Linked DNA regions of Elephas maximus indicus. The protein of the gene in region 1 interacts with the protein of each later gene in a biochemical or structural test. Links are inferred from orthologs where the notes say so. Each region holds a gene or a part of one and is shown on either strand. Other genes may lie near its edges.

The links. The genes of interacting proteins can lie anywhere in the genome.
Region 2: the proteins of BCL2 (region 1) and PMAIP1 interact in a biophysical measurement, tested with the Homo sapiens proteins (2 studies listed by BioGRID and IntAct, with this or other methods). The link is inferred for Elephas maximus indicus from reciprocal best matches to the Homo sapiens genes BCL2 and PMAIP1.

The regions. Positions count from the first base shown.
Region 1 is NC_064829.1:71,624,602-71,632,316, forward strand, and holds the start of BCL2 (apoptosis regulator Bcl-2), read right to left. Parts: upstream 3,685-7,715; 5' UTR 2,889-3,684; exon of another isoform or gene 2,674-2,888; 5' UTR 2,418-2,673; coding exon 1,863-2,417; exon of another isoform or gene 1,261-1,862; intron 1-1,260. UniProt on the Homo sapiens protein: Suppresses apoptosis in a variety of cell systems including factor-dependent lymphohematopoietic and neural cells. Regulates cell death by controlling the mitochondrial membrane permeability. Appears to function in a feedback loop system with caspases.
Region 2 is NC_064829.1:68,321,208-68,329,212, forward strand, and holds the start of PMAIP1 (phorbol-12-myristate-13-acetate-induced protein 1), read left to right. Parts: upstream 1-4,555; 5' UTR 4,556-4,714; coding exon 4,715-4,772; intron 4,773-7,830; coding exon 7,831-7,940; 3' UTR 7,941-8,005. UniProt on the Homo sapiens protein: Promotes activation of caspases and apoptosis. Promotes mitochondrial membrane changes and efflux of apoptogenic proteins from the mitochondria. Contributes to p53/TP53-dependent apoptosis after radiation exposure. Promotes proteasomal degradation of MCL1.

The DNA.
Region 1 (7,715 bases):
ATCAAGGTTATATCTTAGTTTCTATCATAAACATATGTCTCTGTTTCCCACCCTTCTATTAAGTTACTTGATAGATGGTAGTTACCACCTTGGATTTCCTCCAACTAGATAGAATATTTAAAAATATAATTTTAACTATTAAATACATATTCCTTTGGTTTTAAAACGACCTTTTTGGAATCTAAAAGTCCCTACCTCTTTGGCGATGATGGTTAAGGAAAAAAAAAAAAAAACAAAACTTCCTTGACCAAACATTGAACACAAATATTCTTTTCACCCTTTGGTGAATTCCTCCGGAATTACTAAAGATCTTATAATGTGGGTCTCGAAAAACAAACCAGGAAATAACTCACAAAGAACATTTAGATTTCAGAGATATAAACAAAGATATGTGAGTTAATTTTAAACACCCAACATGGGCATCAAAATTTTTGTCAACTTTGGTCAAAGTCATCTGTTTTTCTTGACCTTTTCTCTTTTGGGCCCCTTAGTATTAGGACACTTTGTAAAACGTAGTAAAACATGTAATGTGCTTCTTGAATTCTAAGCCACTTGTAGTCATTTCCAGACTTTTTGTTCTTCAGTCCTATACAATAATTCCATTAGTAATTCTCCCAAGGGACTGTAAGAGAAAGCAATGAATTGCATCCTTTTCCAAAGATAAGTCCTCAGATTAAAACAAAAGTCCTAAAATAACCTCAGACAAGAATTATCTTCTTTTATTTTTTCACAATTCATACATTTAGATATGAGATGTTGATTTGAATTACAATTCTTGAGTCATAGGATCTGCACCCCTCCCCCAAAAGAATCACGGAAAAGAACAACGGCATGGCAAAATCACGGAAGCTCTGTGGAGCACCGTACCAGAAACAAATCACCTCACAGGTGTTCTTCAAAGCTGCAGGTATCAATCACTTCAACTCACAGCAAGGCATGAGAGAATCCACAGCTAAGAATCAATTCTTCTACACATCACACAGATACCCTAGATGTAAGCATTTTTAGCAGAGGAGACAACAAAATTATGTGGATTCTAGGTGGTGAAAAGTAAAAGACACTAAGATTCTAATAAACTTTTAAATCATACACTAGTTATAAAAATAGCCCACGATGCATGCAGCCGATGCAAATTCTGTCACCAAGGAGTTAAGGCAAAACATCTATATCTAACATTCTTCAAGACAGACTGTCACGCCCACTGGGAATGTGATACACACTGTAGGCTAGTGTCCAAGGACTTCTGGAATGGCAACTTACCTCTTTACAAACACAGCTAAGTTTTCCACGGAAAGAGGATATATTTGTTTTCCTCTTTGGGTAAATTTTACTAAGTGATTCAAAGAAGACATCACCTTGGTCCTCTGGTGGAGTCTGTTCTTCTGTGTGGTTCTCAAATTTTGGCACACAGAAGAATCCCTCGGGGGAACTTGTTTAAATGCAAATTGTCAAGACCGAACCCTGGGGTCTGGTTCAGTAGGCATGAGTGACCCCTGAAATCGCCAATGTCAACAAGCTACCTGAGCCAGGTAACTGATTGGGGGAGTGTTGCCTGGACCACAGGCTTGAGAAACATTCAAGGGATCCCATTTACCACAAGAACCTACTGGAAAGCCAATGCTGGATCACTGAACTTCAACGGCTGACACTCAAGGAAAACCCCTTCGGCGGAAGAAATTATCACAGAAGGGTTGCCAGGGAAAGCCTTGTTAGGTGGAAGAAGGAGGGAAGCAGGGAAGAAAGTAACCTGGTTGCTTTCTCAACAGACTCCCCTTGACCCCGGAGTCCACCCACACATCAACCACTGCGTCTCCACCTCAGACCTCAAGCACAGACTCCCATTCAACCACACATGCACCTACCCATCCTCCGTTATCCTGGATCCAGGTGTGCAGGTGCCGGTTCAGGTACTCAGTCATCCAGAGGGCGATGTTGTCCACCAGGGGCGACATCTCCCGGTTGACGCTCTCCACACACATGACCCCACCGAACTCAAAGAAGGCCACAATCCGCCCCCAGTTCACCCCGTCCCTGAAGAGCTCCTCCACCACCGTGGCAAAGCGTCCCCTCGCGGTGAAGGGAGTCAGGTGCAGCTGGCTCGACATCTCGGCGAAGTCGCGGCGGTAGCGCCTGGAGAAGTCGTCGCCGGCCTGGCGCAAGGTCAGGTGAACTACAGGTGGCACCGGGCTGAGCGCCGGCTGCGCGGTCGGGTCAGCCTGGAGCGGCGAGGTCCTGGTGTCCGGGCCCCGGGGCGCCGCGGGCGGAGAAGAGAGGACGCCCGGCGCGGGAGCGGCCCCGGGGGGCGCGGCGCTAGCTTCGCCAGCCTCCCATTCGTAGCCCCGCTGCGACAGCTTATAGTGGATATACTTCATCACTATCTCCCGGTTGTCATAACCTGTTCTCCCTGCGTGCGCCATCCTTCCCGCTCGGCCCCGCTCCCAGCCCGCGCCCCCAAAAGCCAAGAGAAGAGTTATAATCCAACGATTTTATTGGATGTGCTTTGCATTCTTGGAAGAGGGGGTGTCTTCAGTCACGCGGAACTCGACTCTGGGGTTTCCCCCTTGGCATGGGATTCAGGAAATTTTTATTTAAATTCCTTTTGGATCTTTATTGCATGAGGCACGTTATTATTATTAATAATTATTGCACTATAGGTCTACTTCCTCCGTGATGCTGAAAGGTTAAAAAAAAAAAGACATAGTCAAAATCAGGTGCATTTTCCTTTATACACCGGGTGCAAGCGGGACATACACACTACAAGTTTCACAGCTCAAAAGAATGGATTCAACTGCCTGGAAATCCAACTTACTCGAATGCACTTAAAGTTAAAATCTCAAATGTTTCCATCAAAAGTTACATGAAGCCCATTTCCTGTGCAAAGAACTTACTTGTATTTTTTAGGGGTAGCATGATCCTCTGTCAAGCTTCCTTTTTTGTACAAATAAACGCATAAGGCAAGAATCCCATCAATCTTCTGAGCTCTCCAGTTAGAGCTGCTGAGAAACTTCCAGAGGAATCAGGAGTTGGGGGGCGGGGGGTTAAAAATCAGAAGAATTTCCAGAATGATCCCCAGACTTCTGCTGCACAGAAATGTCAACCAGTAGGAATCCCCAGCACGAGGGAAAAGGCAGCGGCGGCAGATGAATTACAATTTTCAGTCCGGTATTTGCAGAAGTCCAGCGATGTCCCCTCTGGGCAATTTCCACGCGCGCACACACACGCGCGCGCGGGCACAGGCGTCGCTCTCCGCGGGGCCCTGCACGCCTCCCCGGGAGAGGGACAGGCGGGGCGGGGACGCTGGAGGACCGGGCGGGGACAGGAGTCAGTCCTCTTCGGGTAAAACTGCGAGCAGCGAGCATTTCCCGGAGAGCCGCTGGAGCAACGCGGCGGCGGACGCCGGCCCGGGCCGCGCGAGCACAGCGCTGTGTGTGGTGCCGCGAGGGGTGGGGAGAAGGCGGGGCGGAGGCTTTATTTTTTCCCTCTTTTCCTAAAAAGGATGACGGCTACGAAGTTCTCCCCCCTGGACCCCCGCTTCCGCTGCACCCCACGGCGCACCCCGCCTCCAGGCTGCGCACCCTTTCTCCTCCGCCGCCTCCGGGCCCTGCGCGCCGCCCCCCGCTGCTCCCGCGCGCAGCCCGCTCGGAGCGGGGACCGCCGGGAGGCCCGGCCGCGCAGTCACTGGCGGCAGCGGCGGCTCGGCGGGGACCCCAGGGCGGCGGGCGGGCGCGCGGCGGCGGAGGGGGCGGGGAGGACGGCGGGCGGGGGGGCGCTCTGACTTCATTCTCCTCACAGACCCGCTGGTTTCCTGTGTGTACGTCACACTGTTCATTCAAAAAAAGAAGCCAGAGCGCGCCCGCCTCGGAGCCCGCTCCCGGCCCGGTTAAAGGCACCGCGCCCGGGCCCGAGCCGCGAGCCCGCCGTGGGCCTGGGCGCGGGGCCGCAGTGAGGGGCGTGCTGGAGGCCGCCTGCTCGGCCACCACCGCCCGCCAGCGAGCCCGGCCGGTGGGTGGCGCGCGACACAGGCCTCCCGCGCGACCGGGCGCGGTGGGTGTGCGCGGCCTCCTCGGGCCTGCGGCGGCCGGCTCTCGGGGCCGCGGGCGAGCGAGCGGAGCGAGAGGCCAGGGCGTCGGGGACTGCACTCTGCCAGCCGGCAGCAGAGCGCAGAGAAGGGCCGGGTGGTGCGCCATGCAAACAAGCCTTGGAGAAGCGCAGAGGATTCGCTTTGACCCTTTCAAAGCGTATGCGTGTGTGTGTGTGTGTTGTGTGTGTGCGCGCGCGCACACAGCGAGTTACCAGCGCTCGGCCCATGGCGGACCTAGGCCGGTGCTGACCGCAGCCGGGACCTCGGCGCTGCCCTCCCGTGAAGAGGCGACCCTACCCATTCCGCGCATTTGTTAGCGAGGGAAGCGCGGTAGCGTCCTGTTTACTTTCAGGTTGCTTCCTCGGTGTCCATGCAGCACACACACAAGCGCGCGCGCGCCTGCCGGCACCTAAACACATACCATCCGGCCCAGTTTAAACCTGAAGCCACTATCTGTGACCAAGGCCAGACATAACTTTAAGTGGTCCAGTGAAGGGCCGACTGGAGGATATCAAGGGCTTTCCAATAGTTAAGCCAGTGTTTTTTCTCTGCTCCTCACAATTTCGGCACTGGGTTAGGGCTAGATCCTGTGGAGGGCCACAGGGCAACTTCTAGGCCCACAGTCTTAACAGTGGGTTTGTGAAAGTCTCCACCTCTGCCAAGCAGCCAACCCTTGATGGCTACATCTTCTCAAATTGTATATCTGTGTATATATGTGTGTGTGTGTATAAACGCAAATGGTTAAGTGTGGTTGGCTACCAACCAAGTGCTACTAACCTAAAAGTTGGCAGTTTGAATCCACTAAGAGGCACCGTTGAACAAAGACCTGACGACTTGCTTTTTAAAGGTCACAGCCTTGAAAACTCTATGGACCACAGTTCTACTGTGACACATAGGGTTCCCATGAGTCAGAAGGACTGGATAGGTAGGTAGATGGAAAACAGGTAGATAGATAGATACTAGATAGGTAGATAAAGTAGATAGATATCTTCAAAACCAAACCCATTGCCTTTGATTTCTATAGGACAGAGTAGAACTGCCCCATAGAGTTTCCAAGACTGCGATCTTTAGGGAAGCAAACTGCCACATCTTTCTTGCATGGAGCCGAGTGTTGCTGTGTGTGTATGTATGTGTATATACACACACATACATGTTTACATACACATTTACACACACATGCATATATGTACACACACATGCATATATGTACACACACAAATATATGTACACATACACCCCACACATTTTTTTGTGCATAAGCACGAATAACCCCGAGACGAAAAGAACAAGAGGACAAACAAGTTGCACACGTTTAACTATTTTTATCTCTGAGAGTCTTTGACAAATAAAGCACCAAGAAACAAAATGTTTAGCAAAAGCACAGCAGCCTAATAGCCTCAAATGCAAATATATAGGGACATGGGGCTTATTATAGAAACGTGACAAATGATTCCTACAATGTGTGCAAATATGTTCTGACACCATCTTTGATATTTTTCTCATTTCTAGTAAAAAAAAAAAAAAAGCATTTATTCCTTTGCAAAATGAGCACACCAAATTGTTTTCATTTCTTCATTTATCATACCCAGTCAGCCAACGTTTAAAGGTCTTATATATAGGAATGGATGCCTCGTACGAACTTCTTACCCAGGCAAGGGGAATAAAGAAAGATGTTCCTTCCCACACTTCTGATGGCTCTGACAGAGAGTCCCCTTTGACCTGTGGGCAGTGGTGAGGAGGTGTTCTGGCTTGACATAGACACTGGGTAGAGATTGACCTTGAATATAAGTTCTCATAGAAATAAGTAGAAAACTGTGTTAATTCCACAACGTTATGATTTAAGGGGGGGGGGAGCAGTGGTGATTCAGTGGTAGAATTCTCGCCTTCCATGTGGGAGGCCTGGATTCAATTCCTGGCCAATGTGCCTCATATACAGCCACCACCCATCTGTCACTGGAGCCTTGTGTGTTGCTAGGATGCTGAACGGGTTTCAGCAGAGCTTCCAGACTCAGACGGACTAGCCTTTCTTGGCTTGGAGATGTATTTCCCCAAAAATCAGCCAGTAAAAACCCTATGGATCACAATAGTCTGATCCCCAACTGATCATGGGGAAGATGTAGGACTAGGCAGAGTTTCCTTCCATTGCGCATGGGGTGGCCATGAGTCCGGGGTGACTCAAAGGCAGCTAACCACAACAACAACAATGGTTTAAATGAGCCCATATGGAATTGTCTCAGAAACTTGTCTTAAACCTCAAAAATTTTTTAAGAAAAGAAGTTGAAAGCCTCAGTCCTCCTGAGACCCAGCTTATGAGTGAGGAAATGAGAGGGTAGAGCTAGAAAAGAGATTGTACTATGCAAAGGGCAACCGGAAAGAAATAAACCCCCTCTTCCCAGAGAAAGAAATGCTTCTGTATTTTTTCCTTTTCTTTGTTCCCATATAGCCTCACTTCAAGGATTTTCTCAGAGTAATTCCGTAAGTGACATCTTGATTCTAACCAAATACTTTCTCAGAGCAGGTCTGCATTATAGCCCTTAACTAGGGCTATATATTCGCTGGGGATGGTCTCTATACTCTTTCAATTGAAAGAATGAAACCATTCTTCCCTTCTGATTCCATGCTTATTGGAATCCATTTCAAACAAGGGAAGGTATTCCTAGAAAGGGTGTAAAATGAACTGTGTGCCTTTGGGTAATGGTGAGGTAGTGGAAGAAGTCCTGGGCTTGACTCCTAGATCATGCCTGAGACCATCAACAGCCTTCCAAATAGACACTCTCTCCAAGATGTCTTCCTCTGTTTAGAGCAAAGGGACGACCCTTTTGCCAGTTTTGCCTGTTTGGATTGTAAGAGTAAGGTGGCACCAGGAAGAGAAAAGAGCCAAGATGCACAGGTTGGGGATTGTATGAAGAGTCTAAAAGGCGTGTTTTCCTTTTTTAACCTCCAGTCTGCCAAACAAAAAGCTTTTTATTGCCAGTTTTCGCCACCTACTGGTTGGTGTTTAATCGAATAATTAAGAAACTTATCTTCATCCATCACCAGCATAAATGCTCCCGAAGTTTATTAAATTCAAAAAGAACATTATTCTAATGTAGACATACTTAATATATGTATCTATTAAATCTTCCCAACTATCTAACTTTTTATTTAAAACAATGGTATAAGCGGACCATTAACTTAGAGGGAACTGATAACTAATAAGATGAAAAATATAAAAACAGGAAACATGACCCCAAACCGTTTAGGCAGACCAACAGGGAGATAAATCCATAAACAAAACCAACTGACTAGAGAGAGCAAAAACAAGTAGTAAGTCAATTTAACTTCCAGAAAAGAAAAATGAACTATTTACAGTTGATATCTTACAGGCCTAGATAAGCACTCAAAAAAAATAAGCTTCCAATTTTAAGTATCTTATACATAATAAAGGTTTTTCAGGAATCCCTGGTGGTGCAGTGGTTAAGTTGAAAGTCCCAGTCCTCCTGAGACCCGGCGAGCTATGGCTGCTAACCAAAAGGTCAGCAGTTTGAATTCACCAGCTGCTCCTTGGAAACTCCATGGAGTTTTACTTTGTCCTATAGGGTCGCTGGGCAGTTCTACTCTGTCCTGTAGGGTCGCTATGAGTCGGAATCGACTC
Region 2 (8,005 bases), about 3.3 Mb from region 1:
CCAGGCACTGTCATAGTCCACCATAGTTCCCCCATCACAGCACTGCCAGTGCATCTTACTTGTACTTGAGAGTTTACGTATCTGCCTCCCCCTCCAGCCTTGCTCTTCAAAGTGATGTCCACAGGCCAGAATCATCAGCCTTGCAGAGCTTGTTAGAGAAGTAGAATCTCAGGCCCCAGCTGGCCCTCCAGGATCAGATGCGCATTTTAACAAGATACCCAAGTGATTCTTATGCACCGTCAAATCTGTAAAGTACTAATCTCTTCACTGCAGGTTCCCTGGGGGCTGGGAACACTGTCTCCCCAGAGATTAGCCCGATGTCTGTCTTCAAGTAAATAGAGATTTAATTGATCAATGCTTCAGCCTCATCTCATGTTCACAAACACACTACACAGGAAAAAACCACATCCCCTTCTATCAGCATAAACCTAATCAGATCTACAGCCTGTACCTTTCATGCCAGGCTTCTTCAGGACACCCCCCCACTCATCGCATATCCTTGTTTCCTGTCAAATCCCATTTTCTCCAAGAAACATATAAATGACCCCTTTATTACTTATGCTTGTTTGTTTCACTATATTTTTAGCTCTAAATGACAGCACAAAGTGGCCAGATTGTCACGGTCATTTTTGAACTTAGTAAATTCGTAAAAACTGATTATCTGTTAATAGTTTTAAAATTATCATCCTCATCAGTCCTATATTTAAAAACAAATTTTTTTTTTTTTTAAGAAGATAGTAGGGGATCTCTCTGCTTCGTGGTAAATCTTCATTATTTTCTCAGCCTGTCGCTGGGTGAGTAGGTTCCGATTCACAGCGACCCCGTGTACAATAGAATGAAACGCTGCTGGGTCCTGTGCTATCCTCACAATCATTGCTGTTTGTCAGCCTCCCAGACCCAAACCCACTGCCATCAAGTCGATTTTGACTAGTAGCGACCCCACAGGACAGAGTAGAACTGCCCCATAGAGTTTCCAAGGAGCACCTGGCAGATTCGAACTGCCGACCATTTTGGCTCGCAGCCATAGCATTTAACCACTACACCACCAGGGTTTCCTTGTCAGCCTGGATGGACTAAATATTCCAATATGTTTATATGTTGTTCAAGTCCAACATTAAATGATACACCACCTTTGCAGAAAGGTATACATTCGACAGTGGTTTTTCACACTCAGCTTCTCACGACTCTCACTACATTCCCTTATAGAATGTTAGATCAGATCTGAAAGAGTTTATGGCTCATATCAAATCTAAAGGCATAAAAAGTCCTTCATAATCCACTTTGTTTTGATCCAGCCCTGAAGTCTACCTTCCCCTATCTCTCTCCTCCCTTTTCTTCCCAGCGAGTTAGTGCTTGGCTGTTAAATGAAAGGTTGGCAGTGTGAACCCACACAGCAGCTTGAGGCAGAAAGACCTGGCAATCTGCTTCTGTAAAGATTAAAAAAAAAGCCCAGAAAACCCTATGAGACAGTTCTAAACTGTTACATGGGGTTCCTATGGGTCGGAATTGACTTGACGGCATCCCACAACAGCAACAACCAAATAGACTGCAGACTCTACAGACTTGCCTAAGATTTATTTCCCTTATTATTATTTTTTTTTATGGGTTACATAGGAGCCCTGGTGGTGTAGCGGTGAAGAGCTTAGGCTGCTAACCAAAAGGTCTGCAGTTTGAATCCACCAGCTGCTCCTTGGAAACCCTACGGGGCAGTTCTACTTTCTCCTATACAGCCCAGTGTGAGTTGGAATCAACTGGAGGGCAATAGGTTTGGTTTTTTTATGGGTCACATGACCAATGACCTTTTATAATGACAATGCCAGAGGGCAGGACTGACAGGCCTTTGGTAGGTAAACACTGTTATACTACACTTTTCTTATGCTGATTCTATTCACTGCATTTCAGGGTGCATAATTTGAACAGAAGTTTACCAATTTATTCAATGCAGGAGTTAATGTCTATGTTAAGTATGTAAAAACTAGCCTTGAGGGGGCCACACTGCCTTTGGGATCTCAGGTTTGCGGTAACATTTCCAGGCGGCATCTTCCCTCTTCCAGCTGGGTCCTGTGGTGGCGACTCCTGAATTCCGTCTGCTCCGATCCTGATCTGTTTGCCACACTCAAAAGCACCCAACATCAGCCTCAAAACTAAGCTGTTTAAATTCAAGGGTAGCTTTGTGTTATGCTTATAGCTTCGTCTGCACCCTCTGCAGGACGACACCATAAATAAAATGCTTGCTGGTTTGTGTTGATTGACTGATTTAAGATAAATAAGCAAACTCAAATGCCTACAGGGGCCAGATAGCGTAAAGCACTAAAGCAAACAGAGCAGGGAGTGTGGTAAACAGGAGCGCCTACTGCTCCTCCGAAGGACCGGCCTGCGGCCACACTTTCAGTCTATTTTCCACTTTTGGAACAGAACCCAAGGTTGTCAGAGCTTCTAATTTTCTAATGCTGTTAGATGCCATCGAGTTGGTATGACCGTACATAACAATGAAACGTTGCTGTGTCCTGTGCCATTCTCACAATAGCAGGAATGTTTGAGTCCATCGTTGCAGCTACTGTGTCAGTCCATCTTGTTGGGGTCTTTTTCTTTTTTACTGACCCTCTAGTGGTTAATGGAGCACTGGTGGTGCAGCGTTTAAGTGCTTGGCTGCTAACCAAAAGGTCGGCAGTTTGAATCTACCAGCCACTCCTTGAAAACCGGATGGGGCACTTCTACTCTGTCCTATAGGGTGGCTAGGAGTAAGAACTGACTCGATGCCAACGGGTTCTACTTTACCAAGTACGATGTCCTTCTCCAGGGATTGGGCCTTCCTGATAACATGCCCAAACCTGGCTTTTATTAATTTCTCAATTTTTAAATACTGGTAATCAATTCAAATTTTCACAAGACACTTTGCAGGCAAATATTATGAGCCAAACCAAACACTTCTGGGGAGCCACAAAATTCTCAGCAGCCAGGGTGCAACCTCTGCATTAAGCGGTGCAGATAAATCATGAACACTCGTTTTCTAAGAAACTGCGATTGCTGGCTGTAAAGGCTAAGAGCTCTGGCTCCAGGCGGGCCAGCCTGGGTTCAGGTCCTGGCACTGCCCTCTCCCTACGCAGACTTGGGCAACTTAAGCTCTATAACCCTCAGATTCCACACCTGTAAAGTGGCCATGATCTTAATACCTGCTTCCTAGGGGTGTTGTGAGGCCCCTTAGTAAGAAGTGGTCCTCAATACCTTCTAACTATTCCTAATTTCTCTTCTCTTCATAACAATGGCATGACTGAAGCATCAAACATTGTGCAAAAGATTTCACAGTCCCAGATATCTCATTCCTCTCTTCATGCACCTGAGGTTTCTCCGTATTATCACCCATCCTTTTTTGTGTATCCAAACGGAACATGCTCTACTTTAAAAAAAAAAAAAAATTATTCGTTGTTGTGAGAATATACACAGCTAAACGTATACCAATCCAGCAATTTCTGTGTACAGTTCAGTGACACTGATTACATTCAAGTTGAGCAACCATTCGCACCCTCCTCTGAGTTGTTCCTCCCATTAACATAACTCACAGCTCTCTAAGGTTCCTATCTGATTTTTTGAGTCGAATATGCTCTACTTCTAAAATCACAGATCTAACCCGGGCGAAAACCAAGCCCCCTTACACACACACACACACACACACCCCTTTTCTGTTCCCCCTTACACACACACACACACACACACACCCCTTTTCTGTTATTAAAGGTCTGTGCTTGTCACTTCGCTGGAGCTAGCCCGGCTCTCTTAGTGTGAAAACCTTTCTTTCCTGAACTCTTTCCGGGGATTGTTTACAGATATCTCTAATTGCTTATTTATGATAAGGACAAGGCAAGTACTTTCCCCCACCCTACCTTTCCTGCCAGGAAAACCTTTCTTCTCTTGCAATTCTTAAAACCACGCTACAACCGCAGCCTGCTCTACGACCGGTTGTTGCAAATTCTCTGTCCCTACGGCGTCTCCGGAAACCTTGGTGGCGCAGTGGTGAAGAGCCATGTCTGCTAACCAAAAGGTCGGCAGTTTGAATCCACCAGGCGCTCCCTGGAAACCGTATGGGGCAGTTCTACTCTGTCCTATAGGGTCGCTGTGAGTCGGAATCGACTCGATGGCAATGATTTTTTTTGGTTTTACCGCGTCTCCTCTCCCAGTCATTTCAGGAAGTGATTTAGGGGCTGGGGAAAGGTCTCGCCACAGTCTTCCGCACTCGGAAGGCGCTGCAGGCGCCCTAGACGGCCGCCGCCTGGCCCGCCCAGCGCCCCGCTGCGGGACGGGAGCGCGGCCGGGGGTCGGTGTCCGGGGTGCGGCGCCACCGCGGGTGCGGAGCGGGGCCCGGAGTCGGCGCCGCTGCAGGTCCGCGCTCTGCGCCAGCCGCGCAGCTGAGTTTCCCGCGGTCCTGGCCGGGACGCGCTCCTCCCACAGCGACGTCCTGGCTGGCGGAGAGGGGGCGGTGCGGGCGTTAAGTTTCCCTACGTCACCGGGAAGTCCCTTTAAGTGCAGCGCGCGGGGGGGCGGGGGGACCTCAGAGTGTCCGAGCGCGTACAGAGTTCGGTCACACCTCCGCCTGTCTCCCGCCTGGTGCAGTGTACTCCCCGCGCTCTGCCCGCATCCTGCAGTCAGAGCCCTGGGAACTCGCTTGGGGACTGTGCTCGCGGGTTCGCCGCAGAGCTGCGAACGGCTGCTGACCGAGATGCCGGGGAAGAAGGCACGCAAGAGCGCGCAGCCCGGCCCTGCCGGGACCCCGGCAGGTACTCAACAGCCGGGCCGGGGGGACCAGGCAGGCCGGGGGGACCAGGCGGGCCGGGGTGGCGGTCTCGGGCGGGCGGGCAGGGTCGGGGCTCGGGCCGGCGGGGATGGGGCTCAGGCCCAGACTGCATGCGGTTCCAGGTCCGGCCAGGTCTGCCCGCCTGCGATGCCACCAGGAAGCCCTTGCGGGGCTTTCCCAGGACCGTGGAGGCGGCCTGGGAGGAAGCTTTGCTTGGTATTGGGATGTAGCTACGTTTCAGACGGGACAGAAAGCTCCCCTGTCTTCCCCCTCCCTACAGACACACAAGCCGATTGCCCTGCGCTGGGGCCGTGGGACAAAAAAGTGCAAGTGCAGGCGGCTGCAGTGAGCAGAAAGTCACTGTCATGGCAGGTGGGGTGGGAGCGGGCCCCCCTTCGGAGCCTGCACCCCAGCGCTGCCCGCGACAGGCCTTTCCCTCCCGAGTCGTGGTCCTCTGACGGTCTCTGCTCTGTTACCAAAAACCCACTACGCGGTACTTAAAGCTTGTTACTGCCTCGGCTTCTCCACACAGGGCTAATTGAGGGTTTATAGGGACCCCGCAAGAACCTCGACATTTAGGAACCTAGAAAGTTTTCTTTCTTCGAAGCTTAAGAGTGTACCTCTTAAATGGTCCATATTAATTGCAGCGGGGGTGGGGGTGGCGCTAGATAGATGAGTGGAGGTTGGTCCCCAAGCCTTTTCCACCCATCCATCCGTTCCTCGCTCCATCCCCCGCACACAGATCTCCATCAGGTGACTTTTTAAGTCACCGCCCCCCCCATCCTTTCATAAATCTTATCAAAGAAGGCAGCCATCAGTAAGGGGCAGTAGCGAGGAAGGGCCCTAGGCCTCTGGGCTTGAAATCCGTGTAGGTCCTACTGCTGTTGCATCAGAAGACTAATAGACACCTCTTAGTTTCGTTTTATAAAGCCGTTGGGGCGGCAGAGGAAGTGGGGGTGCTTTGTGAACGTGGAGATGGCTGTGTGCAACCAGGCCGCCCTTTCTGGATCTTGGCGTGGGGTGAAAAAAGCTTTGACGACTTCTTGTGAAGTTCAAAGTTCTGACCGTGTTCCTTAAAGATTTGCCGGGAACCTGTGCGTAGCCCTCCCAGGCTCCATCTACTTAGTTCGCGGTAACAAGGAACAGCAGGAAGTCCCTCTTAAACTTGATTAGATATTAGTACATTTACAGGTGTGCAACTATAAAAAAAAAGTTAAAGAAATAACTAGGAGCTATTTTTTTTTTTGTGAAAGGAATCATTTTTGCTCTTAGAATTCAGGGCTCCCAGAATATTATGCTGAATGATATCTTGTCAGTTGCCATCAAGTCGGTTCTGATGCTAATATCCCACTCACTGAAAAGTAAACTTTTCTTTGTAAATTCTTTTCAAAATGTTTGGAGTAAACCCGACCCTATAGTCTATAAAGAATGGCATCTTAAGAGATCTATTAAAAAACAAAAACCCGAGCCCATTGCTGTGGAGTCGATTCTGACTCATAGCGACCCTACAGGACAGGGTAGAGCTGCCGCCGTGGAGTTTCCAAGGAGCGGCTGGTGAATTCGAACTGACAGCGTTTGGTTAGCAGCCAAGTTCTTAGCCACTGCAGCACCAGGACTCTTGAGAGCTATTAGTTCTCCAAAAATTACTTTCTAAAAGGGTCAGGAGCCCTGATGGGGCAGTGGTTAAGAGCGCAGCTGCTAACCAAAACGTCATCAGTTCAAATCCACCAGCCGCTCCTTGGAAACCCTATGGGGCAGCTCTATTCTGCCCTATAGGGTGGCTATGAGCTTCTTCCTACACAGTGTAGGGGTCGGAATGGACTTGCCGGCAACGGGTTTGGTTTGAACAGGGGTAAGGAAAGATTTTGCCAGCTCTTGGAGAGAAATTGATTAAAATGGAGGTTTAAAAACCTGTTTTACTGTATATTTACAGTTTTCATTTATTTTGAGCCCAGCCACTACTTAAGAGCTGGAGCTTCTAACCAAAAGGTCGGCAGTTGTAATCTGCCAGGCACTCCTTGAAAATCCTATGGGGCAGTTCTACTCTGTCCTGGGTCGCTATGAGTGGTAACTGACTGGACAGCAACGGGTTTTTTTTTTTTTTCCCACGATTTGTAGTCAGAGATTTTTAATGTTCATAATCATTATTTTCAAGTGGACTAAAAGACCCTGAGTTGCTCTTTGAAATATCAGAGAAAATTAAAATTATCCTTAGTATAGATTTAGAATTAATTTCATTTACTTATGAATTTACTTGGAAATTAGGTCTAAGTATTCTTTTTCTTAAATTAATATTCAGTTAACTACAGTATCTCAATTCTAAAAAGCAGGGAACTTAATAGAAATTTAACATTACTTGTTTTCTGCTTCAGTCGTCTCCATAAAGGCAATGGATTGGTACAGATTGGGCTTGTAGGAAGAAATTTTTGCTAGAGTAAAATGTAAACTTTTAAATTATTTAAGAGAATTTGCACTTAGAAATTTTGAAATAAAATTAATGAGTTTTATGATAAAAATTCAAAGGGATTTTTTTTTAATGAGGAAAAGGATAAATTTAGATTGGCCTATTATTGAGGGTAAAACCTAAGCGATGAATTATTGACATTTAAAAAATGAATTCTATTTGAAAAACAACACAGAAGGGTTTAGAATTTGGCTTCTGTTCCCCGACCAACCTTAAGTGAGAGAGAAAAGGATGACCTCACCTGGGATTGCTAAAGATAGACTAAAGTTACTCTGTGGTGTTTGACATATTAAATTTCCGTATTTCAAAGTAACATTTGCCTCATTCAGGATGCTTTCTAAAAACAAAATTCAAAATAACCGTCTTTATTTTTACCTCTACTATTTTTTGTTGTTGTTTATGAATCACAGTGTGCTACTGGGTGTGTATGTGTTGGGTCTTTCTATGTCTTACATTCAGAGGTCAGGCTTACATAAAGCTAAGATAAATAACTCACTTGGATGGGCGTATTAACTCTAGTTGAGTACAGTTTGGATTGTTGCCAGTGCTAATGTCAGTATTTTGCTTTCCTTTTCAGAGCGCGATGTTGTCGAGTGTGCTATTCAACTCAGGAGAATTGGAGACAAAATTAATTTCCGGCAGAAACTTCTGAATGTGATATGCAAGCTCTTCTGCTCAGGCACCTGACTGATTCAGATCCTTTGAAAGAGGAGATTCCTTTAAAATGGAAGATCCCCTCGTAGGTGCAAATT